Arabidopsis thaliana: one gene and its partners. The protein of the gene in region 1 purifies or fractionates together with the protein of each later gene. This does not show direct contact. Each region holds a gene or a part of one and is shown in the gene's direction. Other genes may lie near its edges. The genes, in order: MCM6, AT4G24820, PKR2 and EIF2 BETA.

The links.
Region 2: the proteins of MCM6 (region 1) and AT4G24820 purify together in Arabidopsis thaliana (affinity purification with mass spectrometry, with the first as the bait; one large-scale study listed by BioGRID). This does not show direct contact.
Region 3: the proteins of MCM6 (region 1) and PKR2 fractionate together in Arabidopsis thaliana (co-fractionation; one large-scale study listed by BioGRID). This does not show direct contact.
Region 4: the proteins of MCM6 (region 1) and EIF2 BETA purify together in Arabidopsis thaliana (affinity purification with mass spectrometry, with the first as the bait; one large-scale study listed by BioGRID). This does not show direct contact.

Annotation. Positions count from the first base shown.
Region 1 is NC_003076.8:18,005,777-18,012,482, reverse strand, and holds MCM6 (minichromosome maintenance (MCM2/3/5) family protein), read left to right. Parts: upstream 1-1,940; coding exon 1,941-2,017; intron 2,018-2,098; coding exon 2,099-2,251; intron 2,252-2,352; coding exon 2,353-2,478; intron 2,479-2,585; coding exon 2,586-2,748; intron 2,749-2,856; coding exon 2,857-3,050; intron 3,051-3,153; coding exon 3,154-3,349; intron 3,350-3,429; coding exon 3,430-3,507; intron 3,508-3,599; coding exon 3,600-3,829; intron 3,830-3,916; coding exon 3,917-4,031; intron 4,032-4,151; coding exon 4,152-4,226; intron 4,227-4,313; coding exon 4,314-4,454; intron 4,455-4,569; coding exon 4,570-4,773; intron 4,774-4,868; coding exon 4,869-5,030; intron 5,031-5,129; coding exon 5,130-5,185; intron 5,186-5,277; coding exon 5,278-5,420; intron 5,421-5,506; coding exon 5,507-5,826; intron 5,827-5,911; coding exon 5,912-6,052; 3' UTR 6,053-6,188; downstream 6,189-6,706. Other genes in the region: BGLU13 (beta glucosidase 13), read right to left, coding at 1-1,337. UniProt on the Arabidopsis thaliana protein: Probable component of the MCM2-7 complex (MCM complex) that may function as a DNA helicase and which is essential to undergo a single round of replication initiation and elongation per cell cycle in eukaryotic cells.
Region 2 is NC_003075.7:12,788,507-12,794,725, reverse strand, and holds AT4G24820 (26S proteasome regulatory subunit Rpn7), read left to right. Parts: upstream 1-2,003; 5' UTR 2,004-2,126; coding exon 2,127-2,265; intron 2,266-2,363; coding exon 2,364-2,478; intron 2,479-2,821; coding exon 2,822-2,912; intron 2,913-2,990; coding exon 2,991-3,136; intron 3,137-3,226; coding exon 3,227-3,446; intron 3,447-3,582; coding exon 3,583-3,691; intron 3,692-3,790; coding exon 3,791-3,959; intron 3,960-4,080; coding exon 4,081-4,255; 3' UTR 4,256-4,409; exon of another isoform or gene 4,410-4,657; intron 4,658-4,934; exon of another isoform or gene 4,935-5,127; coding exon of another isoform or gene 5,128-5,241; exon of another isoform or gene 5,242-5,358; coding exon of another isoform or gene 5,359-5,487; exon of another isoform or gene 5,488-5,675; 3' UTR 5,676-5,696; downstream 5,697-6,219. Other genes in the region: AT4G24830 (arginosuccinate synthase family), read left to right, coding at 1-76, 194-268, 358-543, 672-760, 1,089-1,641; AT4G24810 (Protein kinase superfamily protein), read left to right, coding at 5,128-5,241, 5,359-5,487, 5,718-5,912, 6,054-6,101, 6,181-6,219. UniProt on the Arabidopsis thaliana protein: Acts as a regulatory subunit of the 26S proteasome which is involved in the ATP-dependent degradation of ubiquitinated proteins.
Region 3 is NC_003075.7:15,429,668-15,437,550, forward strand, and holds the start of PKR2 (chromatin remodeling factor), read left to right. Parts: upstream 1-1,860; coding exon 1,861-1,980; intron 1,981-2,046; coding exon 2,047-2,204; intron 2,205-2,216; coding exon of another isoform or gene 2,217-2,286; intron 2,287-2,326; coding exon 2,327-2,500; intron 2,501-2,709; coding exon 2,710-2,924; intron 2,925-3,005; coding exon 3,006-3,101; intron 3,102-3,196; coding exon 3,197-3,333; intron 3,334-3,414; coding exon 3,415-3,573; intron 3,574-3,668; coding exon 3,669-3,776; intron 3,777-3,933; coding exon 3,934-3,984; intron 3,985-4,089; coding exon 4,090-4,177; intron 4,178-4,278; coding exon 4,279-4,424; intron 4,425-4,534; coding exon 4,535-4,632; intron 4,633-4,721; coding exon 4,722-4,860; intron 4,861-5,089; coding exon 5,090-5,259; intron 5,260-5,428; coding exon 5,429-5,495; intron 5,496-5,590; coding exon 5,591-5,704; intron 5,705-5,802; coding exon 5,803-5,912; intron 5,913-6,034; coding exon 6,035-6,116; intron 6,117-6,360; coding exon 6,361-6,555; and 13 more. UniProt on the Arabidopsis thaliana protein: Chromatin remodeling factor that represses the expression of embryonic trait genes upon and after seed germination and thus enables the developmental switch to post-germinative growth.
Region 4 is NC_003076.8:7,094,140-7,098,860, reverse strand, and holds EIF2 BETA (eukaryotic translation initiation factor 2 beta subunit), read left to right. Parts: upstream 1-1,715; 5' UTR 1,716-1,849; exon of another isoform or gene 1,850-1,990; intron 1,991-2,191; 5' UTR 2,192-2,199; coding exon 2,200-2,238; intron 2,239-2,365; coding exon 2,366-2,480; intron 2,481-2,571; coding exon 2,572-2,627; intron 2,628-2,729; coding exon 2,730-2,784; intron 2,785-2,878; coding exon 2,879-2,973; intron 2,974-3,063; coding exon 3,064-3,209; intron 3,210-3,326; coding exon 3,327-3,469; intron 3,470-3,560; coding exon 3,561-3,646; intron 3,647-3,795; coding exon 3,796-3,867; 3' UTR 3,868-4,212; downstream 4,213-4,721. Other genes in the region: TSL (Protein kinase superfamily protein), read right to left, coding at 50-139, 397-648; AIP2 (RING/U-box superfamily protein), read left to right, coding at 4,551-4,718. UniProt on the Arabidopsis thaliana protein: Component of the eIF2 complex that functions in the early steps of protein synthesis by forming a ternary complex with GTP and initiator tRNA.

The DNA of each region.
Region 1 (6,706 bases):
GCGTCTTGAACCATCTTCAAATGTTGAGCGTAGTAATCGATCCTCTCACTATCTTTAAGGTCGATTTTACCGGTACTAGCTTCATCTCTACCATTCTCTGTTATATACATGACAGGATCCTTGAACTTGTATTTTGCATAGAGAAGGAGATCACGAATTCCTTTTGGATATATCAAAAGCCAATCTGATGCTGCCTTTGGACCGATAGGCACTCCTTCTCTTTCACCTGTGACGCTAGCACAAGGATCAGAGAATAATGTAACGTTTTCGCTTGAGCAAGGAACATCCTTAGCGTAAGAAGATGAGTAATAATTGATGCCAATGAAATCATATGATCCTTTCAACATCTTAGATTGTTTTGCAGTAAATGTAGGTAAGCGACCGTCTTTTACGTTGTTGACCATGTCAACCGGATATTTACCGGTTACAAGCGGCTCCATGAAATAGTCGAATGTGAAGGCCATGGCTCGTGCCGCAGCTAATCTATCTTCAGCTGATTCGGTATAAGGCAAGTTCCAACCCGCGTTCAAAGCGATACCAACTTGACCTTTTTGAGATGCCTTATATTTTTCTCTATATACTTTGACTGCTTCTCCATGAGCAAGAATGAGGTTGTGACCAACAATATAAGGCTCGGTAGCTCCATTTCCCGCGGTGCAATTAGGGTTTGTGAATTTTGAACACCTTCCAGGAGCCATTACACCAGCAACATATCCTTGTTGCACAACTGTTAATGGTTCGTTCAATGTCATCCAATGCTTCACTCGATCTCCAAAATTCTTGAAGCAAATATCCGCATAATCGCGGAAGTCATTCACAATCTCCGCGCCAAAGAATCCTCCGTAAGCATCTTCAAGGCTTTGCGGTGTGTCCCAATGAAAAATGGTGGCGAATGGCTTAATTCCTTTAGACAAAAGCTCATTGATCAAGTTGTTGTAATAGTCAATACCAGCTTGGTTGATACCTCCTTTTAGATTCCCACGTGGCAAGATCCTCGACCACGAGATAGAGAATCTATAGGCACCGAAACCAATTTGATGTAGTAAACCCACATCTTCCTTGTAAAGATGGTAAGAATCACTTGCAATAGATCCATTGGTACCATCTTTTATCTTCTCCGGATATTTTTCAGAGAATGTATCCCAAATACTTGGACCTCTACCATCTTCATGAGCAGCTCCTTCGACTTGGTAAGCTGACGTTGCAGCTCCAAAAATAAAATCTTTTGGAAAATCACTTCTTCTTAATTTAGGTGTTGAAGAGTGTTTCTTGGCTATAACTTCATTAGAAGCCAAGACAATAATAAACACTAGCAAAGAAAAATATTTAGTTCTCATTTTTATGATTGATTGTTGAAACTTGGTTTGTTGTGAAAAGATGAATAGAGCTCAGAATTATATAGGCAAGAGAATTGTTATGGCAATTTGTTATGTTAATCTATAAATAGAGAAGTATAAGATAGAGATAGTATAACAACAAATCTTTTAAGTTTTACTTGTTCATAATTAGTAAACAGAACATTCAAATGATCTTATCAAGTTGTATTTCTAATGAAGAAAAAATAGCAAAACATTCGTGAAGGTTCGTTTTCTTTTTTTTGTTCTATCGATTTTCTTAATAACCAGAATCGATTATCTTTAGAGTTTAGAATAAGCATGGTTGTCTTGATCAAATATATATTTGAAAAGGTCCATTTTAAAGGTCCAAATTATAAGCCCAATATATAAGCCCAAAGTTTAGGCCCAATTCACGTATCGCTATACTTTTTAGCGGGAAAATGTTAGAGGACCCCACCTAAAACTCCCGCCACAACAAGCTCGCCATTTCTTTGCCCATAGTGGAGAAAGGTTTTGTTTTCCGTTCAAACGATTTTAGGGTTTTTGTCGCAAACAGTTTTTGGTAGTGAAGAGGAAAATTTCGAGTGAGGTAGAATTTGAAAAATGGAAGCTTTTGGTGGATTTGTAATGGATGAACAAGCGATTCAAGTCGAGAATGTCTTCCTCGAATTCCTGAAAAGGTTTGCGTTTTTGGGCTTTTTGTTTCCCCCAATTTCTTTCAATTTTGGCTCTAATCAGTTTCGGTTTCAATTTGGTTTCAGTTTTCGATTAGATGCGAACAAGCCGGAGTTGTATTACGAAGCAGAGATTGAAGCGATTCGAGGTGGTGAATCAACAATGATGTACATTGATTTCTCACATGTAATGGGTTTTAATGACGCTCTTCAGAAAGCAATAGCTGATGAATATTTGAGGTTTTGTTTTTTTGTTTCTCTAATTTGCTGATTATTAATCTAAAACCCTAGTTTTGATTTTTGGGGTTTTTTGATTTTTGTGTGTGAAATTTTGGTTTTAGGTTTGAGCCGTATTTGAGGAATGCGTGTAAGAGATTTGTGATTGAAATGAATCCTTCTTTCATTTCTGATGATACTCCAAATAAAGATATCAATGTTTCTTTCTACAATCTTCCTTTCACTAAAAGGTAACACCTTTAAATATCTAATTAATGATTTTGATATTATAGTAGTTGTTATGAATATTTTGGCTTAACTTTAGTGTGTGGTGATTGTGATGATGATGGTTTTGTAGGTTGAGGGAGTTAACGACGGCAGAAATTGGAAAGTTAGTGTCGGTGACAGGTGTGGTTACTCGAACAAGTGAAGTGAGACCTGAGCTTCTATATGGGACTTTCAAGTGTTTAGATTGTGGTAGTGTTATAAAGAATGTTGAACAACAGTTTAAGTATACACAGGTAATTGATTCTTTGATTTTTGGTGTTTTTTTTTATACACTTTGTAGTAGGAAGAAGTAGTAGCTTGTTTTCTTTTGGTTTGTTGAGTGATTTGTGGCCTTGTTGCAGCCTACGATCTGTGTGAGCCCGACTTGTTTGAACAGAGCAAGATGGGCGTTGCTTAGACAAGAAAGTAAGTTTGCGGATTGGCAAAGGGTTAGAATGCAGGAGACTTCAAAAGAGATACCTGCAGGTTCCTTGCCACGGTCTTTGGATGTCATTTTGCGTCATGAGATTGTGGAACAGGCCAGAGCGGGTGACACGTAAGATTTCGTTTTGTGTCAGTTCTCTAAGTTATTTCTTCCATCATTATAATAATAAAGGGTTTGCATTTGATTGTGACTCCTTTTGGGATTGTTCTCGCAGGGTTATTTTTACGGGAACAGTAGTTGTTATACCTGACATATCAGCACTGGCAGCACCTGGAGAGAGAGCAGAATGTCGTCGAGACTCATCACAGCAGAAAAGCTCTACTGCTGGACATGAAGGTGTTCAAGGTCTCAAGGCTCTAGGAGTTAGAGATCTTTCGTATCGGCTTGCCTTTATCGCTAATTCAGTGCAGGTTTGTCAACTTTTTAGTATCTGTCAAGCCATAACTTAAGTGATACCAGTTGATCAATATCAATGTTTTTTTCTTTCTAGATTGCTGATGGTAGTAGGAACACTGACATGAGGAACCGCCAAAATGATTCTAACGAAGATGATCAACAGCAGTTCACGGTGAGGCTTGAAATAAACTACCTATAAGTCTTAAGAGTTAATATACCGCAGCATCCTGGTTTTTCTCTTACATGATTATTTAAACTTTGCAGGCAGAAGAGTTAGATGAAATTCAGCAGATGAGAAATACTCCTGATTACTTCAATAAGTTAGTTGGAAGCATGGCCCCAACCGTTTTTGGTCATCAAGACATCAAACGTGCAGTTCTACTTATGCTTCTAGGCGGTGTGCACAAGACAACTCATGAAGGCATCAACCTTAGAGGAGACATCAATGTTTGTATAGTTGGGGATCCCAGCTGTGCTAAATCCCAATTCCTCAAGTAATGATTCTCATTGAAAATCAAAGCTGTCTGTTTTTTTTTCCTTTTCTGAAATCTGATCATTCAGTTTTGGTTTGTTATTTGCAGGTATACCGCAGGTATTGTACCACGATCTGTGTATACATCTGGGAAGTCCTCTTCTGCAGCTGGGTTGACTGCAACTGTGGCAAAAGAACCGGAAACTGGTGAATTCTGCATTGAGGTAATTTTAGAGTTTTCAAGTTACCTAAACTTTATAACCGCTTTAAAGAAGGATAGCCTTTCTTTGTAAATTTGATTTCTATGCTCTTTTTCTAATTAAGGTTATCTGACTCTTCAACAGGCTGGTGCTTTAATGCTTGCTGACAATGGAATATGTTGCATTGACGAGTTTGACAAGATGGATATCAAAGATCAGGTAAGTCAGCATCATTGCTTGTTACTATACAGACGATTATGTTTCTTAGAGTGTGTTTGATGAAAATTATTGCATTTGGGCACAAAGGTTGCTATTCATGAAGCAATGGAGCAGCAGACGATAAGCATTACAAAAGCTGGTATACAAGCAACCTTGAATGCTAGGACATCAATTCTTGCAGCAGCTAATCCTGTTGGTGGGCGATATGATAAATCTAAACCACTTAAGGTAAGGTGATCCAAGAATTAGACCAAACAGATGCATATTTGTATTCCTTTCTTTGCTTAAGAACTTTCATGGAAGGTTTTATATCTAATTGTGGTTTGATCATGCTCTTTTTCAGTATAACGTTAATCTTCCACCTGCCATTCTTTCGAGGTTTGATCTTGTGTACGTTATGATTGATGACCCTGATGAGGTAACGGATTACCACATTGCCCATCATATTGTGCGAGTTCACCAGAAGCATGAAGCAGCGCTATCTCCTGAATTCACTACCGTACAACTCAAGCGCTACATTGCATATGCCAAAACGTTAAAGCCAAAGGTTGTTGACTAACCCGAAAAAAGTTTTTGATTGCTAAAGGCTCTTTTGCTGGAGATGCTAACATCTTTTCTCTATATTCATCTGTTGTGTTGCAGCTAAGCCCAGAAGCAAGAAAGTTACTTGTCGAGTCTTATGTTGCTCTTCGTAGAGGTGATACAACTCCAGGTACAAGAGTCGCATATCGAATGACAGTTAGGCAGCTAGAGGCACTGATCAGGCTCTCAGAAGCCATTGCTAGGAGTCATTTGGAAATTCTGGTGAGATAATCCTAAAACGTTTTTCTGTTCCTTTCTTTTATTCTACCAGTATCCAGTAGTTGATTTGATTTATCTGGGAACTTGTTATTTTTCTTTCAGGTTAAACCAAGTCATGTTCTTTTAGCTGTCAGACTGCTAAAGACTTCAGTCATCAGGTAACTTCGAACATCTTCAAAAAATATTTTTATCTCCTAAAATTCTCCCAAAATGTTAACCGTAAACAACCATACTTGCTTCTCTTATCCAGTGTTGAGTCAGGCGATATCGATCTTTCTGAGTACCAAGATGCTAATGGTGACAACATGGACGACACAGATGACATTGAAAACCCTGTTGATGGAGAGGAAGATCAACAGAATGGTGCAGCTGAGCCAGCTTCTGCAACTGCAGGTATTTATGCACAGTTTGTGCTCTTCATTTTTTCTCTGCCTCACTTAAGAAAGAATCATAATTAACATCATATGACGTAGCAACAGATAATGGAGCAGCAGCTCAAAAGCTGGTGATTAGCGAGGAAGAATATGATAGAATCACACAGGCTTTAGTCATTCGCCTTAGACAACATGAAGAAACTGTAAACAAAGACAGTAAGCAACAACACTCTTCAATTTTCCATACTTTTCATTTTCTCTCCTCAACTATTGAAAACAATTTTTTTCCTTTAGGTTCTGAATTGCCTGGAATTAGACAAAAGGAACTGATTCGATGGTTCATCGATCAACAGAATGAGAAAAAGAAATATAGTTCGCAAGAGCAAGTAAAACTCGATATCAAGAAACTCAGAGCCATCATTGAGGTAAAAATCCAAAACAATCATAGAAGTTAAGAATAAAATTATTTCAAATGATGTTTCTATCTAACACAAGCTATGCATTGCACAGAGTTTGGTATGTAAAGAAGGTCATCTTATAGTGTTAGCTAATGAGCAAGAAGAAGCCGCAGAAGCAGAGGAAACGAAGAAAAAATCTTCACAAAGAGACGAGAGGATCTTAGCTGTTGCTCCAAACTATGTTATTGAGTGATGTGATTAAGTGTAAGACATTTGTAGAACTCATAAGTAGAAGCCTTAAATCTTTCATCATTGTGAACTAATTTTGTTGGATTATAATTTTCTGTAAACTTCATCGAAACCCAAAAAGGAAAAAAAATGATATTCCCAAATCACTAAACTCTTTAATGTGTATCATACACAGTGTATGTGATCTATGGATATAATCTTGAAGTTTCGTTTGTGGTGTTTGAAGGCATCATCTTCTGCATAGTAAACATCTAATACGCGTCCGAAATTGATGAACCGGTTAAGCATAAATGCGGTAATCTTCAAGCTGCCAATTGGCTAGATATTATGAAAGATGTCTTTTTTTTTTTTTGTCTAAATGACAGATGTCTAAGATTCAATAAAAACAAGAAATAAAGTCTCCATTTTAGCCCAAATCATTTATCATTTTTAGAGGTATTGTTTTGAGAAAGTTTTTAAAGTGGTATTGAGAAATGGACATTTTTTAACAATTCCCCTGTGATTTATTATAAGAAAATACTACGTTATGTTTGATTAATTAAATAGCCTTCTCCTTCTACCAAAAAATAATAATAAATAAATAGCCTTCTCCATACTAATTCAACATATTTTTAATATTAAGACAAAAAGTCATATATGTATGAGAATCAAACACATA
Region 2 (6,219 bases), on another chromosome or scaffold:
TTGTCTTAGAGCTGGTGCCATCTATGAACGAAAATACTTGCTTGGTACCTCCATGGCTCGACCTGTCATTGCTAAGGTAACATTTCGAATGGTTTTATATGATTGACTTGTGAGGACTACCCCCACTATTTCTAATATCTGGATATATCTTTTGGATTACATATTGTCACTAATACATTTTCTAAATGATTAGGCCATGGTTGATGTAGCAGCAGAGGTTGGAGCTGATGCCGTTGCACATGGGTGTACTGGAAAAGGAAATGACCAGGCAAGTACTTGGAATGTCTTGCTAATGCGTCACATTGGAAAACACGCATTGATTCTTACATTACTTTTTTGTACTGATTGATTGACCAGGTTCGGTTTGAGCTCACCTTCTTTTCATTAAACCCTGAACTTAAAGTTGTGGCACCATGGAGAGAATGGGAAATCCAAGGCCGAGAAGATGCTATTGAGTATGCAAAGAAGCATAATGTTCCCGTCCCAGTGACAAAGAAGTCCATTTACAGCCGGGACAGAAACCTGTGGCACCTTAGTCATGAGGTAAAGTAAAAGACAAGTGTTGGTTCGCATTTTTCTTTTGGATACAAATTGATCCAGTTTGTCACATTGCTCAGTTCCTAATAATGTGTCTCATGCTCTGATATCAAACTTATGTGTTTTGTTGAAAGGGTGATCTATTGGAAGATCCAGCAAACGAGCCAAAGAAAGATATGTACATGATGAGTGTGGATCCTGAAGATGCTCCTGATCAGCCTGAGTAAGTTGGAATTTCTTTGAGCCCTTGTGTTTAACTATGCACTGTAATTACCCCAAGGTGGTTTGTAGTGGATTATAGCTGTGTTGATAGTTTGAAAACTAAAGTTGAGTCAGTTAGCTACAGAGCTGAGGTTTAGGCAGAATGAGTTGGTGTGTTCAGGATTTGTTTATGGTTTGGGATTGGGAATCAGATCTAGAATAGAGAGTTCTCGTTATTAAAGTCTCTCAAAGGAGTTAACTGGTTTAGCTGCTATGCTATCAAATTTAGATACCAAGAGTAGGATTTTGCAATTTGCATCCTAACTTTTGATACTTACACACTTATACAGATACATCGAGATCGGGATAGAATCTGGACTTCCAGTGGCGCTGAACGGGAAGGCTCTGAGTCCAGCCACACTTCTGGCCGAGCTAAACACAATAGGAGGAAAGCACGGGATTGGGCGGATTGACATGGTTGAGAACCGTCTGGTTGGGATGAAATCACGAGGTGTGTATGAAACTCCTGGAGGCACTATCCTCTTTGCAGCTGTACAGGAACTAGAATCCCTCACTCTAGACAGAGAGAGTATTCAGGTAAAAGACACATTAGCACTGAAATATGCAGAGATGGTCTACGCAGGAAGATGGTTTGATCCGCTTAGGGAGTCCATGGACGCTTTCATGGAGAAGATAACCGAGACAACCACGGGATCTGTGACACTGAAGCTGTACAAAGGATCTGTGTCGGTTACAGGGCGTCAGAGTCCTAACAGTCTGTATAGACAGGACATATCTTCGTTTGAAGGGAGTGAGATCTACAACCAAGCGGATGCAGCCGGGTTTATTCGTCTTTACGGGCTTCCAATGAAAATTAGAGCTATGCTTAAGAAAATTAGCTAGAAATGGTTTTCATTCATGTCTTACTTGGAATTGAGAGCCTGACATTAGAACACATCCCTTATTGTGATGCGTCGTCATAGCTTCAGCTTCTTTCGAAATAATTCTATCATCTTTCTTCACTTTGGAAAAACTTGAGAAATTTAATAATGAGTGCCTCTTTCTTTTATGATTTCCATTGGAAAGAGATATAAAATATAAATATCCATTACTTGAATTCAACGATCTTAAGTTTAAATTATTTATAACGAGAATTTAAATGTAAATGTTTTTTACTTTTTTTTCTTATGGTAAAAATTCCAAATTTAAATGTAAAAAAAGATAAGGGTGTTTAAGGTAATGCGAAACTTATTTTTTTTTTACATACACAAAAAAAAAAAACCATCGGACCTGAAATCTTTGTAAGCTCTTCCTCCTTGCTCAAGCAAACCTCTTTTTATATATTTGCTCTCTCTCTCTCAGATCCGATTCAAGCTTTCCGATTTGCGATGGACGGTGGAGCGGAAGGATCTCAGCAGCCTCACCTTATTCTAGCCAACAAGCTCTTCCTCCTCACTCATCCAGATGTTCCAGACATCGAGAAAGTCCAGCTCAAGTCTGAGGTTTTGGATTTCATCAGATCCCATGGTTAAGCAGCTCCTTTTCTCTAATCAGTGAGAATTAGCTTAATATTTCTTCGAGATTTTATGTTCCTGATGTTTCGTTGGTGTTTTTATTTATTTTAGGTATGGCTCCTTTGTACGAAACCCTAATTGCCTCTTCGGTGCTGGATTTGGATCAAAGCTTGTTAGAGTCTATGCGGGCCGCTAATGAAGAGGAGCTTAAGAAGCTCGACGAGAAGTAAGTTTCCTTCAGTTTCTCACTTTTATTTGGCAGTGCTTTGAAATTCGAATTCTCGTATTAGTATTTTGGGTTAGATTGATGTAGGGGGACTGTAGCATTCTGGGTCTCAAATTGGATTCAGAATTGTGTTTGCAAAAGTCCACTATGAATTTTGGGAATCTCCATGTTCCTGTGGTAGCTGATGTAGCATGATGTCTTAGTATTCTTAGGGAGATAACCATTACCTAACCATTGGTTTCTGAGTCCATCTTGGCCTCCGCTTTAACTTTGTAGAAACTTCTGAACCAGTATGTTATCAGCCAAAGTTCTCTTACATATTCTTTTCTTTCACTTTTTTCAGGATTGCAGATGCAGAAGAAAATTTGGGTGAAAGTGAAGTTCGTGAAGCTCATCTTGCTAAGGCTCTGTATTTCATCAGGATTAGTGATAAGGTATGTGGCATATCAAAGTTGATAGTTATGGTAACTTCCGTGGATCGTGGCCATTAAATTTTTGTTTTGTAATCCTAGGAGAAAGCTTTGGAGCAGCTAAAACTCACTGAAGGGAAAACTGTTGCTGTTGGACAAAAAATGGACGTGGTGTTTTATACGTTACAACTTGCTTTTTTCTATATGGACTTTGATCTGGTATCAAAGAGCATTGACAAAGCAAAAAAGTAAATGTCAATTTGGCTGTATTTTGACTACTCTTCATGGATAGTGCAACTGAAATCCTTGAATTAACACTTTCCGTTTTCCCTTGCCAGATTGTTTGAAGAGGGTGGTGACTGGGAGAGGAAGAACCGGCTAAAGGTCTATGAAGGTTTGTACTGCATGTCCACCAGAAATTTTAAGAAGGCTGCCAGCTTATTCCTGGATTCTATATCAACCTTCACAACATATGAAATTTTTCCATATGAGACCTTCATATTCTACACCGTCCTGACAAGCATCATAACTTTGGACAGAGTTTCCCTTAAGCAAAAGGTATTTCTCAATGGCTCAGTCTTCCACTTAGAGTTGTCTAAACTTAGATAAAAACTTTTTAGTATGTCGACTTATTAAAATGATGTATATCCATGTAATTTGTTGAAATTCTTATCAAGTGCTACTAATTTGACAGGTCGTTGATGCACCTGAGATCTTAACCGTGCTTGGGAAGATTCCATTCCTTTCTGAGTTTCTGAACTCCTTGTATGAGTGCCAGTACAAGGCGTTTTTCTCAGCATTTGGTAAGTTCATTACAAGGACCAGAGGTCATACATCCGAATGCATGTTGCTTGGCTTTTGTCTGTATGTTTACTAACTTCATTGTCGGCTTATGTTCTCAGCTGGAATGGCGGTGCAGATAAAGTATGACCGTTACTTGTACCCGCATTTCCGGTTCTACATGAGGGAAGTCAGAACAGTGGTGTACTCTCAGTTTTTGGAATCTTACAAAAGTGTGACAGTTGAAGCAATGGCAAAGGCCTTTGGCGTTTCTGTCGATTTCATAGACCAGTAAGCACAATAATGAACGCTCTTTTGTATATTTATGTTTGCCACCTCTCTTTAGAAGCATACAAAAAAACGATAATACAAACTTAAATCTGACTTGAAATGTATTTTTTTTTTTATCCAGGGAGTTGTCGCGCTTCATTGCTGCTGGGAAGCTTCACTGTAAGATAGACAAGGTTGCAGGTGTTTTGGAGACAAACCGTCCTGATGCAAAGAATGCACTTTACCAGGCAACAATCAAGCAAGGGGATTTCTTGCTAAACCGAATCCAGAAGCTGTCTCGTGTGATCGATCTGTGAGCATGCTACATGTTTCTGTTTCACTCTTTCGTCAAGCTTTGCAACTTGGAAACTCCGAACGGTAGAATCTTAAGGTCTGAGAAACGATATGAACTTTGGATTTTGAGATGAATGGCTGTAGTTTCTTTCATCAACTCTAGTTGGTTTGTCAGTGGTGAATTTCCCAAGAACAAAGAGCAAGTTTAATCTCCAATGTTCATTTTATTCTTCCTCGCATATGGCTTTTGAATCTGTTGTTTTCATCGCATCTATCTAGTATCTAAGAGAAAACGACCACCATACCTCTTACAAAATAAAGCTTTTGTTTCACAAGGTGTATTAGTTGACCATATAGATATACCAAGAAAAATGCATTAGTACACTTCATAATCTGAATGGTTAGAATTGAACACAAATTAGATACATCTAAAGGACAGTCCTTGGTTGAACTTGTGAGAGATACATACACAGTAGTTGGTAACTTGGTATTTTGCAGATTCTTCTTCCACGGACGTCTGTTTAGTGAATTAGGTGAGATTCTTCACCATCACACTTATAGGATTTACAATTTGTTTCTTACTGTTTAGTAAGTTCCTTTTTTCCTAAATTTTTTGATATGGTCTGGGGTTAGTAACAAGACCATCATTGTAAACTACTTTAAGATTTGAGGAGATTAGTACCTTATCTTCTATTGCCTGCCTAATTATAACCAGTGACTCACAGTGAGTGTGACATAAGACAAACGGATTTTGTTTCCTTTACAATTTAACGAAACAGTAATTAACACTCTCGAATGGATTCGTAGAGAGCAGCAAACTCCACTCTGACGCCATACATAAACAATTCTTAACTTTATCCTCTCATCCTTATCACTCTTCCTCAAAACTTCGAAAATGCATGCGATCGATTTCAAAGAGATTCAGGAGAAGCTCTCTGATGGATTCCGGCCTTGGCAACGATCGTTTCAGTTCTGGGCTCGTGCCACTGATATCTACACCGGATACAAGGTTTCTCTTTGATTGATGGGTACTCCTTTCTTCTTCTTCATGTTTCGTTTTGTAATACATTTTTCTTATGATTTTCTGCAATTTTCTTTCAATCTGTGTCTTGTTCTGGGCTTTTAGGTATTTCAACTTCGTATGAACTTCGTCAAGGATGTTAATAAGCACGAGGAGATGTGGGAGAGACAACATGAACTTGCTGCTCATAAAGTTTATTCTATGTGCTCTGACCTTGGTGGTTTCTTCCTTAAGGTAATGGTGTGTTGAGACTGTTGTTGAGGTTTGTGATTACCAGAGGGGACTTCCACGTTTGGGATTGTTATGAATTACTCATCTTAAATCTTGTTGTAACAAAAAGTATGAGTTTTTTTTTTGTTTCTTTGATGAGAATAAAGGTTGTACATTTTACTCTTTGATTGTTCACAGTTGCTTATGATGAGTTTTTTTTTTTTTTTTTTACTTTTTTTCATTTTGTTCAATAGATTGCACAAATTCTAGGGAAACCTGACTTGGCTCCAGCTGCTTGGGTGAGAAAACTCGTCACTTTGTGTGATCAAGCTCCTGCCACACCATTTGATGCCGTTCGAGTTGTCCTGGAGAAAGAGTTAGGTAAAAGCATCGAACAAGTGTTTGAAACATTTGATGAGAAGCCTCTTGGCTCTGCTTCTATTGCTCAGGTACTACATTCTTCATCACTCATAGTTTCAGAACCTTTGTACAGTATTACCGTGCATGCTTATAAAATCAGATAAGATTATAGTTTGGTTAAGAAAGTCTCAATATATACTGTATTTCACTTTCTTTTTGCTTCTATCTAGGTACACCGAGCAAGAGTAAAGGGTGACAAGAGGGATGTTGTTGTAAAGGTGAGGAATAATGAGGAGAAAACTGAAATCTTCCTAGTCTACTTTTAATTGGTTTCTGAATGTGCTACGACATGTTTAGGTCCAACATCCTGGCGTTGAGAAGTTGATGATGGTTGAT
Region 3 (7,883 bases), on another chromosome or scaffold:
CTCTAAAAATGGTCCAACAAAACCACCGAGAAACCAAAATTTAAATCAATGTTTAGGCTCTTCTACAATTGATTTCAGTAATTTTCTAAAGAGTAAGAACCCCTTTGGATACGTTTCTGTATTATTTATTTTTCGTAAGGTTTGGTTATTTTAGGATGGCTCTACAAAAAAAATACAATAAACATCTAAAATAACTTGTATCAATTAAAAATAAATATATGCAAATTTCATGCTGCACAGTGGACATCCAGTGGAAGTATTCGAGAATGATTTAACTGTGTTGTGTTGTTTGGTCAGATCGCTGCTAATTGCTATTCTCAAGTCTCAACCTTCTTTTACTGGTACGCACTCAAAGCCCATTATCACCGAAAACATTTCGGTGGATATTTTAATAATTCTCTAATTGATAAGCGTGATTTTATGTCAACTTACAAGGCTTTTCAAAGCCCAAAAAGGGCCACAGGCCCAAGCATAAAGAGAAACATTCACACCATATCTATTTTAAAGATTAATAAAAATGAACAAAACTGATTTTAATTGTAAAATAACAAAAATTTGCTTTCATTGAGAGTTGAACTCAAGACCTCCCGCTTACTAAACGGGTGCTCTAACCAACTGAGCTATGAAAGCTTTTGCTGTTACAATTAATTAAAATCTATATAATACTTTGTAACAAAACTTTTTTTAAGTGTTAGTTAATTTAAAAAGCGTTAATCAATTGAAATGTGGACCTCTTAAAAAAACTAACAAATACAAAAATGCACCATTTGTCCATAGAGTATTGGAAACTAAGTAAACCATCTTCATACTATTGGTCACAACCAAATCCCTTTCCAATTTGTAACGGACGACTAATTTTGGTTTTGTGGTCAAGACTCAAGATAATGCTAATTTTTAAACAAAATTACAGTGCATGAATCTAATCTTTATTTCCTTCTTCTTTTATAACCTTTTTCATACTTACCATTTGCATGCCTCTCTTTAATATTTGTTTTATTCTATAGAAACAAATCACATTATATTGCATTGAATAGATTTTTATTTAAGTTTCATTTATTTGTTTTCAGACACATATCTTTAGATACTAAAGATATAACTAAATATTTAAATCTTATTTCTGGTCAACCCATTCAGACAAAGAATCTTAAATAAAAAAAACTTTAAATTAATTTCTTCCCTAAATATGATATATATTTTTTAATTATGTTACATAAATGTATATATACAATATAAATTTATAGTTTTTTTTTGGTAAGCATATAAATTTATAGTTTGACCAGTGTCAAGGAAACTTAATAAATCAAACAACTTTTTATACTAATAAAATAAAATAACTTTTTGTTTTAATGATATTTAAATATTTAATTATTCAATATATGGTTATTTTGATAATTTTATTTTAAATCATCATCGAATTTCTTGTTGAAATTTCAAAATTGCCGCGTAATCTTAACGGTTTTAGGTACAATTTCATTCACAAAAACCACTAGGACTCACTTCTAAAAATTTCTCACAGCCACAACTACATCTGCATCCCCTTCTGGTTACAAATTAATTCACCTTTACATTGAAATTGACAAAAAAAGGTAGTGTTATCTCCATAAAACAAAATTAAAAGGAAATAAAGAATAATGACCACTCCCTCTCTATATATATAAACAGACGTTTATCATATCCTTAAGAATCACCCCTCTTGCGTTTTAGCTCCCTTGCATTTTCTTCATCTTGTACGCTCCTCCTTGGTCTTAGATTTTCTGAGATATTTCTCTTTTCACTCTTTCTTGTTACGATTTTATCTAAAAATTTAATGAATCATATTTACTGACCAAACACATTGTTGTGGTTTTTTCATGCAGAGAAATGGCTAATCTGTTGCAAAGGCTTCGTAGACGAACCGGGCCAAAGCCAGATTATATTGAAGACAAGTTGGATGAATACATTCGTGAAGAACAAGTTGAAGAAACAGGCGGAAGTAACCAGGTATGTCTTTGTCTTGTTGTGAAATTATAGATCTGCAGTGACTTTTAATTATTTGATCCATTTCAGGATTGTCCTCTTGGCGAGATTGAAAAGATTTTGGACCGTGAATGGCGTCCTACTGCATCTAACAATCCGAATTCTTCTGACAACGGGACACCAACCCTAGTTGTCGTGAAACAATATCTTGTGAAGTGGAAGGGGTTATCGTACTTGCACTGCTCTTGGTAAATTCCCAGCAATATGCGATATCGTGTTGTATTTAATTAAACATGTCGATTATTATGTTTTTGTTGCTTCTCTTGTCTGGTTATCTTATCATCACTTGATTATTAATGTCAATTCTTAGGGTGCCCGAGCAGGAGTTCGAGAAGGCTTACAAGTCCCATCCTCATTTAAAACTAAAATTAAGGGTGACCAGGTTTAACGCTGCTATGGACGTATTCATCGCTGAGAACGGAGCTCATGAGTTTATCGCCATTCGTCCTGAATGGAAAACTGTTGACCGGATTATTGCTTGCCGGTTAAGTGATTCAAGTCTTGTCCTTTGTTTTTATGTCCTTAACTTGATAGACCTCGTTGTGACAATTATGTTTTTTTTTTTTTTTTTTTCCTTTGTGATTATTTATTCATGCGTTTATATTTCTTTCTCTATCTTCTGTGTAGAAAAGTGTGACACTTAATGGATTTCGTTTTGACAATTATGGTTTTTTTGTTTGTGATATGATGTAGGGAAGGAGATGATGGGGAGGAGTATCTGGTGAAGTACAAAGAACTTTCTTACAGAAATAGTTACTGGGAATCTGAATCTGACATCTCAGATTTCCAGAATGAAATCCAAAGGTTTAAGGATATAAACTCTAGCTCTCGTAGAGATAAATATGTCGAAAATGAGAGAAATCGAGAGGAATTCAAACAGTTTGATCTTACTCCTGAATTTCTTACAGGTATTTTATTAGACTACTTGAACAATTTGTATACAGTTTCTGTATAATGTTATTGATTTACTTACCTTATATGTTTTTAAGGCACATTGCATACATACCAGCTCGAAGGGCTGAATTTCCTAAGGTATTCATGGTCCAAGAAAACCAATGTAATCCTTGCGGATGAAATGGGACTAGGTACGTCTTCAAAAATCCATTTCTTTTTTGGGGTTATTCATAGGCTTTGCTTTTATCATTTGTGTAAAATAAGATTGGTTTTGTGGTTGCTGCAGGCAAAACTATTCAGAGCATTGCCTTCTTGGCCTCTTTGTTCGAGGAAAACTTATCTCCTCATCTAGTTGTTGCTCCTCTCTCAACCATCCGTAACTGGGAGAGGGAATTTGCCACCTGGGCACCACATATGAATGTGGTATGTATCATGTTTCGTATATATATGTCACATATACGGTATTAGTTATTTATTAATGTTTTCATCGTATGATATATGCAGGTTATGTACACTGGGGATTCGGAAGCACGTGATGTTATATGGGAACATGAGTTCTACTTCTCTGAAGGGCGTAAAAGTAAGTTTGATGTCTTGCTCACGACGTATGAGATGGTTCACCCAGGGATATCAGTTCTGAGTCCAATCAAGTGGACGTGCATGGTATTTCTGTATTAATTATCTGAATGATACTATATACTTTGTATGTCTTTCTTTTAGATCTCATATTTTGCTTAGAATATCATTCTCTTGGTTAGATTATTGATGAAGGCCATCGGTTGAAAAATCAGAAGTCAAAGCTGTACTCTTCATTGAGTCAGTTTACAAGTAAGCATATCGTTCTGTTGACCGGAACACCACTTCAGGTTCGTCGTTAGTCGATTTTTGGTTCTTCGACTTTCCCAAGGTTCATTCAATCCTACATTAAAGTTTACCTAATTAGTTATGATCTCTGAAATAGTACTATAATTATTATGGTATCAATTCTTTTGTATCACTAATACTTATTTGGTGTTTTTTCAGAACAACTTGAATGAACTTTTCGCTCTGATGCATTTTCTTGATGCGGACAAGGTTAGCCAAAAGATAACGCATATAAAATAAGTTTAGTTTATTCTCTAAAATAGTCATTATAAGCATACAAGCTTGCTTTAATTATTTTATTTTCCATGCTTGCAGTTTGGGAGTTTGGAGAAGTTTCAAGATATAAATAAAGAGGAGCAGATTTCAAGACTCCACCAAATGTTGGCTCCGCATCTGCTCAGAAGTATTAACCAACAAATCTTATTAAGAACATTTCGTTTGAAGTCTCGCACCAAGGGATAACTATAACCATGGTGATTAATCTTGCTTTTATTGTTATTGCAGGGTTAAAGAAAGACGTGCTCAAGGATAAGGTGCCCCCAAAGAAGGAGCTCATTTTGCGTGTTGATATGAGCAGCCAGCAAAAAGAAGTGTACAAAGCTGTTATTACCAATAATTATCAAGTCTTGACAAAGAAACGAGATGCTAAAGTAAGTTTTGTGGATCTCTTGTGCTTATGCAGATGTATATATATTGTCTTGGTTTAGGAACCTTTTAGACTGTACTTGGTAGGATAATTCGGCTGGTTAAACTGTTTCAGATATCTAACGTGCTAATGAAATTACGCCAAGTTTGCTCTCATCCGTATCTGTTACCAGACTTTGAGCCAAGATTTGAAGACGCAAATGAAGCTTTTACGTAACATTTGATCACTAATCTTGACGTATTGATTCCTTTTTAGTATTTTGTGCTGACTTTTGCTTGACCTTTTCTGAATTGTTCTAAAGAAAACTATTGGAAGCTTCCGGAAAGTTGCAACTGTTAGACAAAATGATGGTCAAACTCAAAGAGCAGGGGCACAGAGTGCTAATCTATACCCAATTCCAACACACCCTTTACCTTTTGGAAGACTACTTCACTTTCAAGGTAACCTAATCTGCTATATCTGTTTGTCGACCTATTGATTTGTTCAGTTGGTGTTGTCGCTCTGCAAATGACTTGCGATATAATCTTTTCCTTCCACTTAAAAGTTACTTTTTAATATATCTTGAGACGCAAGGAACAGTAACTTTCTTTTTATAATTTGCTTATATGCAATTAAGGAAAAACTATTGTATGATATTGAGCCGTAACAAATTTATTTTTATTTTGTCAGAATTGGAATTATGAACGGATTGATGGAAAGATCAGTGGACCTGAGAGGCAAGTAAGAATAGATCGGTTTAATGCAGAAAACTCGAACCGGTTCTGTTTTTTGCTCAGTACAAGAGCTGGTGGAATAGGGATAAACCTTGCAACAGCTGATACAGTCATCATTTATGACAGGTTTGAGTTCCAATATCTGTTTAATGAAATGATAAAGTGCTTGTTGGAAGTTTCTTTCCAGAATAACAGAGTGTTTGGATCTTCTAAGTTAATAGCGGAAAGATATTGTAGAGGCATTTAAGATGGTTGTGATGAATTTATTGACATGATTTTTTCACTGGTGTTGTAGTGATTGGAATCCTCATGCTGATCTCCAGGCTATGGCTAGAGTTCATCGGCTTGGCCAAACAAATAAGGTTCTCTTTTCATGGCGTCAATGTGGAATCATCCACTTGCTATTTCATTCTTTTTCTAGCTATGTCACTGATTAAGCCTATATTTTCTTATTTAGGTAATGATCTACAGACTGATTCACAAAGGTACTGTAGAAGAACGGATGATGGAGATAACCAAGAACAAGATGCTTCTAGAGCATCTCGTCGTGGGAAAACAACATCTTTGTCAGGTATATATATATATATGTATTCCTTGTTCGATTTGTTATTGATTCTTATTGCTACAAGGTTTAATTAATTACTGTTTTCTATCCCTGACTGTAATTAGGACGAGTTAGATGACATCATCAAATATGGTTCCAAGGAACTTTTCTCTGAAGAGAATGATGAAGCAGGGAGGTCTGGAAAAATCCATTACGATGATGCTGCTATCGAACAGTAATATATTCTTCTTTCTTTCTTTGTTTTTACTTTCCTAGTGATTTTACTTTAATAGTTCAAAGCCACCATACAATTGCATGGAATGTTCATGATTTGTAGCCACACCTTTTCTTCTGCAGGTTGCTAGATCGTAATCATGTAGATGCTGTGGAGGTCTCACTGGATGATGAGGAGGAAACTGATTTTTTAAAGAATTTCAAGGTTTACTTCTTTCTCTTTCTCTTTCTAGATGAGTGGTTATTGATCAGATGATCCAATATTTGTTAAGGTCCAGAGAATTGTTTAGAGAGTAATAATTCAATGGATATGCTACAAGAATCATCATGTGCATGTGCATGCATATATATACACCCTTTTTTCCTGCAATATTAAGTTATACACATATATTTAGTGGCATTAATTCCAAATATAATTTCTCTTTTTGATGTTATTTCCTGTATATTAGGTGGCTAGTTTTGAGTATGTAGATGATGAAAATGAGGCTGCAGCATTAGAGGAGGCACAAGCTATAGAAAACAATTCTTCAGTAAGAAATGCTGATAGAACAAGTCACTGGAAAGATTTGCTGAAAGACAAATATGAAGTGCAACAAGCTGAGGAGCTCAGTGCTCTTGGAAAGAGGAAGAGAAACGGCAAGCAGGTACGTATACTCTTCTTGATCCCACCTCTCCAGAATCGTTTTATGTCCTTTAGCACAAGTGTTCTTATTCCTGCTTTTGTTAATATTACTAGGTGATGTATGCTGAAGATGATCTTGATGGTTTAGAAGAAATCTCTGATGAGGAGGACGAATATTGTCTTGATGATTTAAAAGTGACCTCTGATGAGGAGGAGGAAGCAGATGAACCCGAAGCAGCTCGACAGAGAAAGCCGAGGACGGTTACAAGGCCTTACAGAAAAAGGGCTCGCGGTACTATACTTTTCCAAATATTGCATTGAAGATGACATCTTGTTGGTTTCAGAGGTTTACAAGTTAAGTAACTTTGAAAATCTATTTTGCTGTAAGATAATTCGGAGGAAATACCTTTGATGGAAGGCGAAGGGAGATATCTCATGGTGCTGGGATTTAACGAGACTGAGAGGGATATATTTTTACGTACGTTTAAGAGGTATATCTTCTTTCTAATAATGTTGTCTAAATTGTGGTTTGGCGTCTCTCAAAGCATCATAGTATATCATAAGTGTCTCAAAACAACTTTTGTAGGTATGGAGCTGGAAACTTTGATTGGAAGGAGTTTGTTAATCCCTTATACATGAAGACCTATGACGAGATAAATAAGTATTGACGACTTAAAGCCATTTATGCTCTTATTTTCAGCTGCTTTACAAAAACCAACAGTTGTTCATTGACACTTGTTAAATTTGTTGTTTCTCAGGTATGGAATCTTATTTTTGAAACACATTGCCGAAAACCCTACCGATAATTCTACAAATTTTAAAGGTAATTTATCACTTTATTGATTATATGTTTGTTGGTATTCTTAGATATATCCAATTGCTTATTTCTGTTATCATATTTTTAAGTTATTACGGCAATGGTCTATGCAGATGGAGTTCCCAAAGAAGGGATAAGCAGTGACGAGCTACTAGTGAGCATGACTTTTATGATGCTAGTAAAGGAGAAGGTAAGCCTACCATTTTCCAGTGTCTATGGAATTTAAACAGTTACTTATTAGCACTAGTAACCGAACCAAAACTTGAGAAGATTCATTGCATTCTTTCTTAAAGTTTTTGCATGTGGTTTATATATCTGAAAGTTTCTCGTTTGATAAAATTTGGTTTGGTCCTCTCTTGTTTGTTTGAGCTCACTTCTCAATGTTTGATGTGACAGTGTCAATTTTTGGACAACCATCCGACAGCACCTGTTTTCTCTAACTACGTCATCAGTAAGTACAATTTGAGAAATGGAGCATTTTCTAAGGAAGAACATGATAGGATACTGATTCCTGCTGTTTCCAAGTAAGAACC
Region 4 (4,721 bases), about 11 Mb from region 1:
ATCAACCCGATAAGAGACTAAAAGAAAACTCTTTATGAAAAATCAATACCTCAACATGATCAACAACACTGAAGTTGTTAGATTCTTGAACTTTCTGGCGCTTTTTTGTATTTGCTCGGATTAGGAAATCTCCAGTATTCTGAGACAGTAACAAGGAGAATGAGATCTAGCTAAAAAAGAGACTGTATTTCTTGTTCAAGAAAGAAATATAGATGCATCTGCAATGCCAGGATATGTAGCCAGCATTGCATACAACTTTGATCAATCTTTAGGCACAAACTGATCAATACAAGGAGGATAGGGACATCAACAATTCAATTAGCAACGACCCTTAGACTCACAAGAATCATAGCATAGACATAAACAAAAGAATTTGAAACAAACATCGGAAGCTACCTCGTCGTCTGAATCACTGATAGAGGTTTCGGACAATCCCGGCGGTGTGGAAGTGACGACTTTGACAGCGGCAGAAGCAGATGACCAGAGAGAGACCTGCTGCTGCTGCTGTTGTTGTTGTTGTGGTGGCTTGGCCGAGGAAGGGGTCTTACCAGTCAAGCGGGCCTCAAGCTTGGCGATTTTGTCGGGTAAAGAGTGATCCGACTGATTAGAAGAATTCGAGGAGAAATGCAAAACCATGTCATCCGACATTGCCAAACACTTGCGGACACTTCACTCCCTAATTTCTACACAGATCAGAGTAAATTCGAGAAATTAGGGTTTTTTAACGGAGAATTACGGAATTGGAAGCTAGAATCTGGATGTCGAAGAGAAACCCATCAACAAATTTTCATGCTTTTATGCAAATCCACGTGGAGGAAAGTGAATAAAACGTACAGAGAAAGATAGACAGAGAAAGAGAAGGAGGAATAAGGTTTTTGTTTCGGTGAAAAAGAAAAATCGAGGAACCCTAAGGAATTAGGAGGGAAAGAGAGGTCAACACAAAGTTCTCTTTAGCACTCACTCTGATACATTTTTTGGTTTATCAGATTTTAGCCTAATTATATAATCTGAGGTTTGAGACAAGTTTGAGTTATGGGTGTGTTAATTTGGGAAATTTCCATTTTTTCTTTCTTTTTTTTTCTCCATTTGGTATCATGGATTAGGGTTGACTATAAGTAGGGTTTTCTTTGATCTAAGGCCAGACTCGTGGTTTAAACGCTAAAATCCGATTATGACTATATGAATTTGCGGAAGTAGGCGGTTGCCGTCTCAAGCGTTATTAAACAATTTGAACGATTAATTTAGCGGTTGAAAATTAATGCATTTGCGGAAATTTTGTTACTGAATATCTAACAAACTAAAATACTTAATATATTAAATAATAAAATAATATAATTTAGTAATTTATAGTAAAATAAGATATGCTAGACTATTAATTTTGACACTAAATATATTCTGATTTCTTTCTTTACTAGTTTCATTTATATTTAATAACATTTTTATATAATTTACTATTCACAGAATTTAATAAGAAATAAATCTTAATTTGAAAAAAAAAAAATTGATTTGATAAAATTTCAATTGATTAATTAATTAAGACAAATAAAATAATAAATGAGAATCTCAGTGTCAATTAATAGATAAAATTAAAATGTAACATGCGTTAAGAAAAAGAAAAAAGTAAAAATGTAATATTAAGGTTTAGGCAAAATGAAATATTTACAGAGACCTTTTACTATTGAATTAAAAAAAAAAGTTACAATTCGAGATGGACTATTTTTTTGGAGGAGCAAGGGTTAACTCTTATCTCAGATTAAAACAACCCCTGCGCCGCTTACTCTCTCTCAGATTCCTCCCGAAGCAACCTCGTTTACTCTCTACGCCAATTTCAGCGCTTAGACATCCCTTTGTGAGTTTTCTTCGATTCCTTTTCGAATTCTTCTGGTCGATCTCAGAGTAAATCGTGTTTTTGGAAGAATTGAGTATAAACAGATTGGTAAACCTAGCTGTTCCGTTTCTGATTTGAAGCCTTGTCGTACATTTTATTTGGGTATTTTTTTTATTGGGAATCGAAAAGTTGTTCTGAATCTCGTTATGGTTTTGTTGCGTTCCGAATTACCTCTCTGATTTAGAAACCCTAATTTCGGACTTGCCTATGCTCATCGTTGTTACAGATTATGTTGATTCTAATATGTATATGTTTGGTTTCTGAGGTCTTATTATCATTGTGTGTTTTCGTTTTGTATCTCAGTTGCAATCATGGCTGATGAAATCAATGAGATAAGGGAAGAGCAAGAAGTAAGTTTGTTTTTTTTCTCTGTTTCTTAATGATAGGGCTCAAGTTAGCCATATAGATTTTTTTTTTTGTTTTGTTTGATGAACTCATGATTGAATGGTTTTTATGTTTTGGTTCATCCTTTTACAGCAGCTCGCACCCTTTGATCCTTCCAAGAAGAAAAAGAAGAAGAAGGTTGTGATTCAGGAACCTGTCGAGGACTTAGCAGAGTCTTCACAGACTGAGAAATCTGATTCATTGCCTGGTATGTATGATGAAGAGTCAATGTGATGTGAAACATTTTTTTTGTTTCAATGGTCTTTTGTGTTACTTTGTCTAATTCCTTGTTTTTGCAGTTAATGATGGTCTTGAGAGTTCATTTACTGGAATGAAGAAAAAGAAGAAGAAGCCAGTGAGTATTGTTTTACGTTTTGTGCCTAGTATTTTTTTTATGTCATTAAACTTGTGTGTTTGATGATTCTGTGACTCACATTTGTTCTTGTTTGATATTTAGACTGAATCAAGCTTATTGAACAACGAAAGTGTTGATGCTGGGGAAGATTTGGATGGTACTTTTAATATCCTTTTTTTTTGTTTGCTAATATACCTTTTCTCTTGGCGGGGTTTTTATCCTGTTTGAATCTTACTGAGAATATATTGCAGAGATTGCTAATGACGAGCAAGAGGGGGAAGAAGGAATAGTTCTACAGCAACGTTACCCCTGGGAGGGAAGTGAGAGGGATTACATATATGACGAGGTGACTATATTTTCGATGATTTCTTTTGTTTTAATCCTTCATAAATATCTTGCTCCCTTGTTTTTTTGCTGACGGGAGTTATATATGCAGCTTCTTGGTAGAGTCTTTAACATTCTCCGTGAAAATAATCCGGAGCTTGCTGGAGATAGGCGTCGTACAGTTATGAGGCCTCCTCAAGTTCTTCGTGAGGGGACAAAGAAGACTGTCTTTGTCAACTTCATGGACCTTTGCAAGACGTATGAGCTAACTCTTTATCTTCCTCTTCAAACTTTTTCTGTGTAACCATAAGTAATATTACCATTTAATTTTGATGACTTTTCGATGACATGTCTTATCTGCATATAAAAAATCAGGATGCATCGTCAACCAGATCATGTTATGCAATACTTGCTTGCTGAGTTGGGTACTAGTGGTTCGCTTGATGGGCAGCAAAGGTTGGTTGTTAAGGGAAGGTTTGCACCTAAGAATTTTGAAGGAATTTTGCGGCGATATATCAGTAAGTAACTTTCTTCTTAGTCTCAAAATTTAAGTTGCCATAAAAGTATATCAGTTTGGAGTTGTTAACCTCTTGTTTTATTATTTCTCAGCTGACTACGTCATTTGCCTTGGTTGCAAGAGCCCAGACACCATTCTCTCCAAGGAGAACCGTCTCTTCTTTCTGAGATGTGAAAAGGTATAAGTTAATCTAATTAGTCCTGATCTTGATATGCATTCCTTTGTTTCTGTTTTACAGTTTTACTTTCTGCGCAACAAAGTAATAAAGTATTTTGTGTGTTTGAATTTGCTAATGTGATTAACGAGTGGGCTACATGGTTTTTGCAGTGTGGATCTCAACGATCTGTGGCTCCGATCAAAACAGGGTTTGTTGCTCGTGTTAGTCGCAGGAAGACTTGAGAAATTAGAAGGTGAAGTGACCTTGGTATGGAGTTTGGAGCTATTCTACTGCTTCTGTATGAGTTTATGAGTTGAAGAAATACTTGTCTTGTTTTTTTTATTTTGTTTTGGAATATGATTATGACTTGACTTTTAAAATGGGATAGGATCAAAACCTTTTACTCTGTCAGGTTCATGTGGTCACCTTGAAGGTTGATTTAGTAAATCCATGGACTTCTTTTTTGTGTTAAGATTATTCTTAGTTCAAAATTAATAGACTAATGATATTAACGTCCACAGGCATTGCGTTCAACATCTCAAATTAAAGCGTGGAAGGCTCAGAAAGTCCAATATACACTATGTTTATCTACAGTTACAATCATACTACAAAAAACAAATAATGTATACGGTTTGGTCTAATATAGCCGCATACGATTTAGTATTTACCAACAAAAAATTGGTCTCAAACCAAACCGAACAATTGGTAATTAACAATTGTTCTTTTGGTCTTGAACCGAACCAAACCGAACTGAACTATATTAACCGACCGACTTCGTCCTTTCCTCCTGATCAAGAAAACTCGTCTCCTACAAAAATCCCAGAAGACAAGAGATTGGTTCTTCTTTTGCATCATTCTTACAAAATCCCCAAAATCATTCGAAACCCCTGAGTATTCTCCTTAACTCTAAGAAATAAATTTCTGAATGGATGCATCGTCTTCACCGTCTCCTTCCGAGGAAAGCTTGAAGCTTGAGCTTGATGATCTTCAGAAACAGCTGAACAAAAAGCTGAGATTCGAAGCATCCGTTTGTTCTATTCATAATCTTCTCCGTGATCACTACTCTTCTTCCTCTCCTTCTCTCCGCAAACAGGTT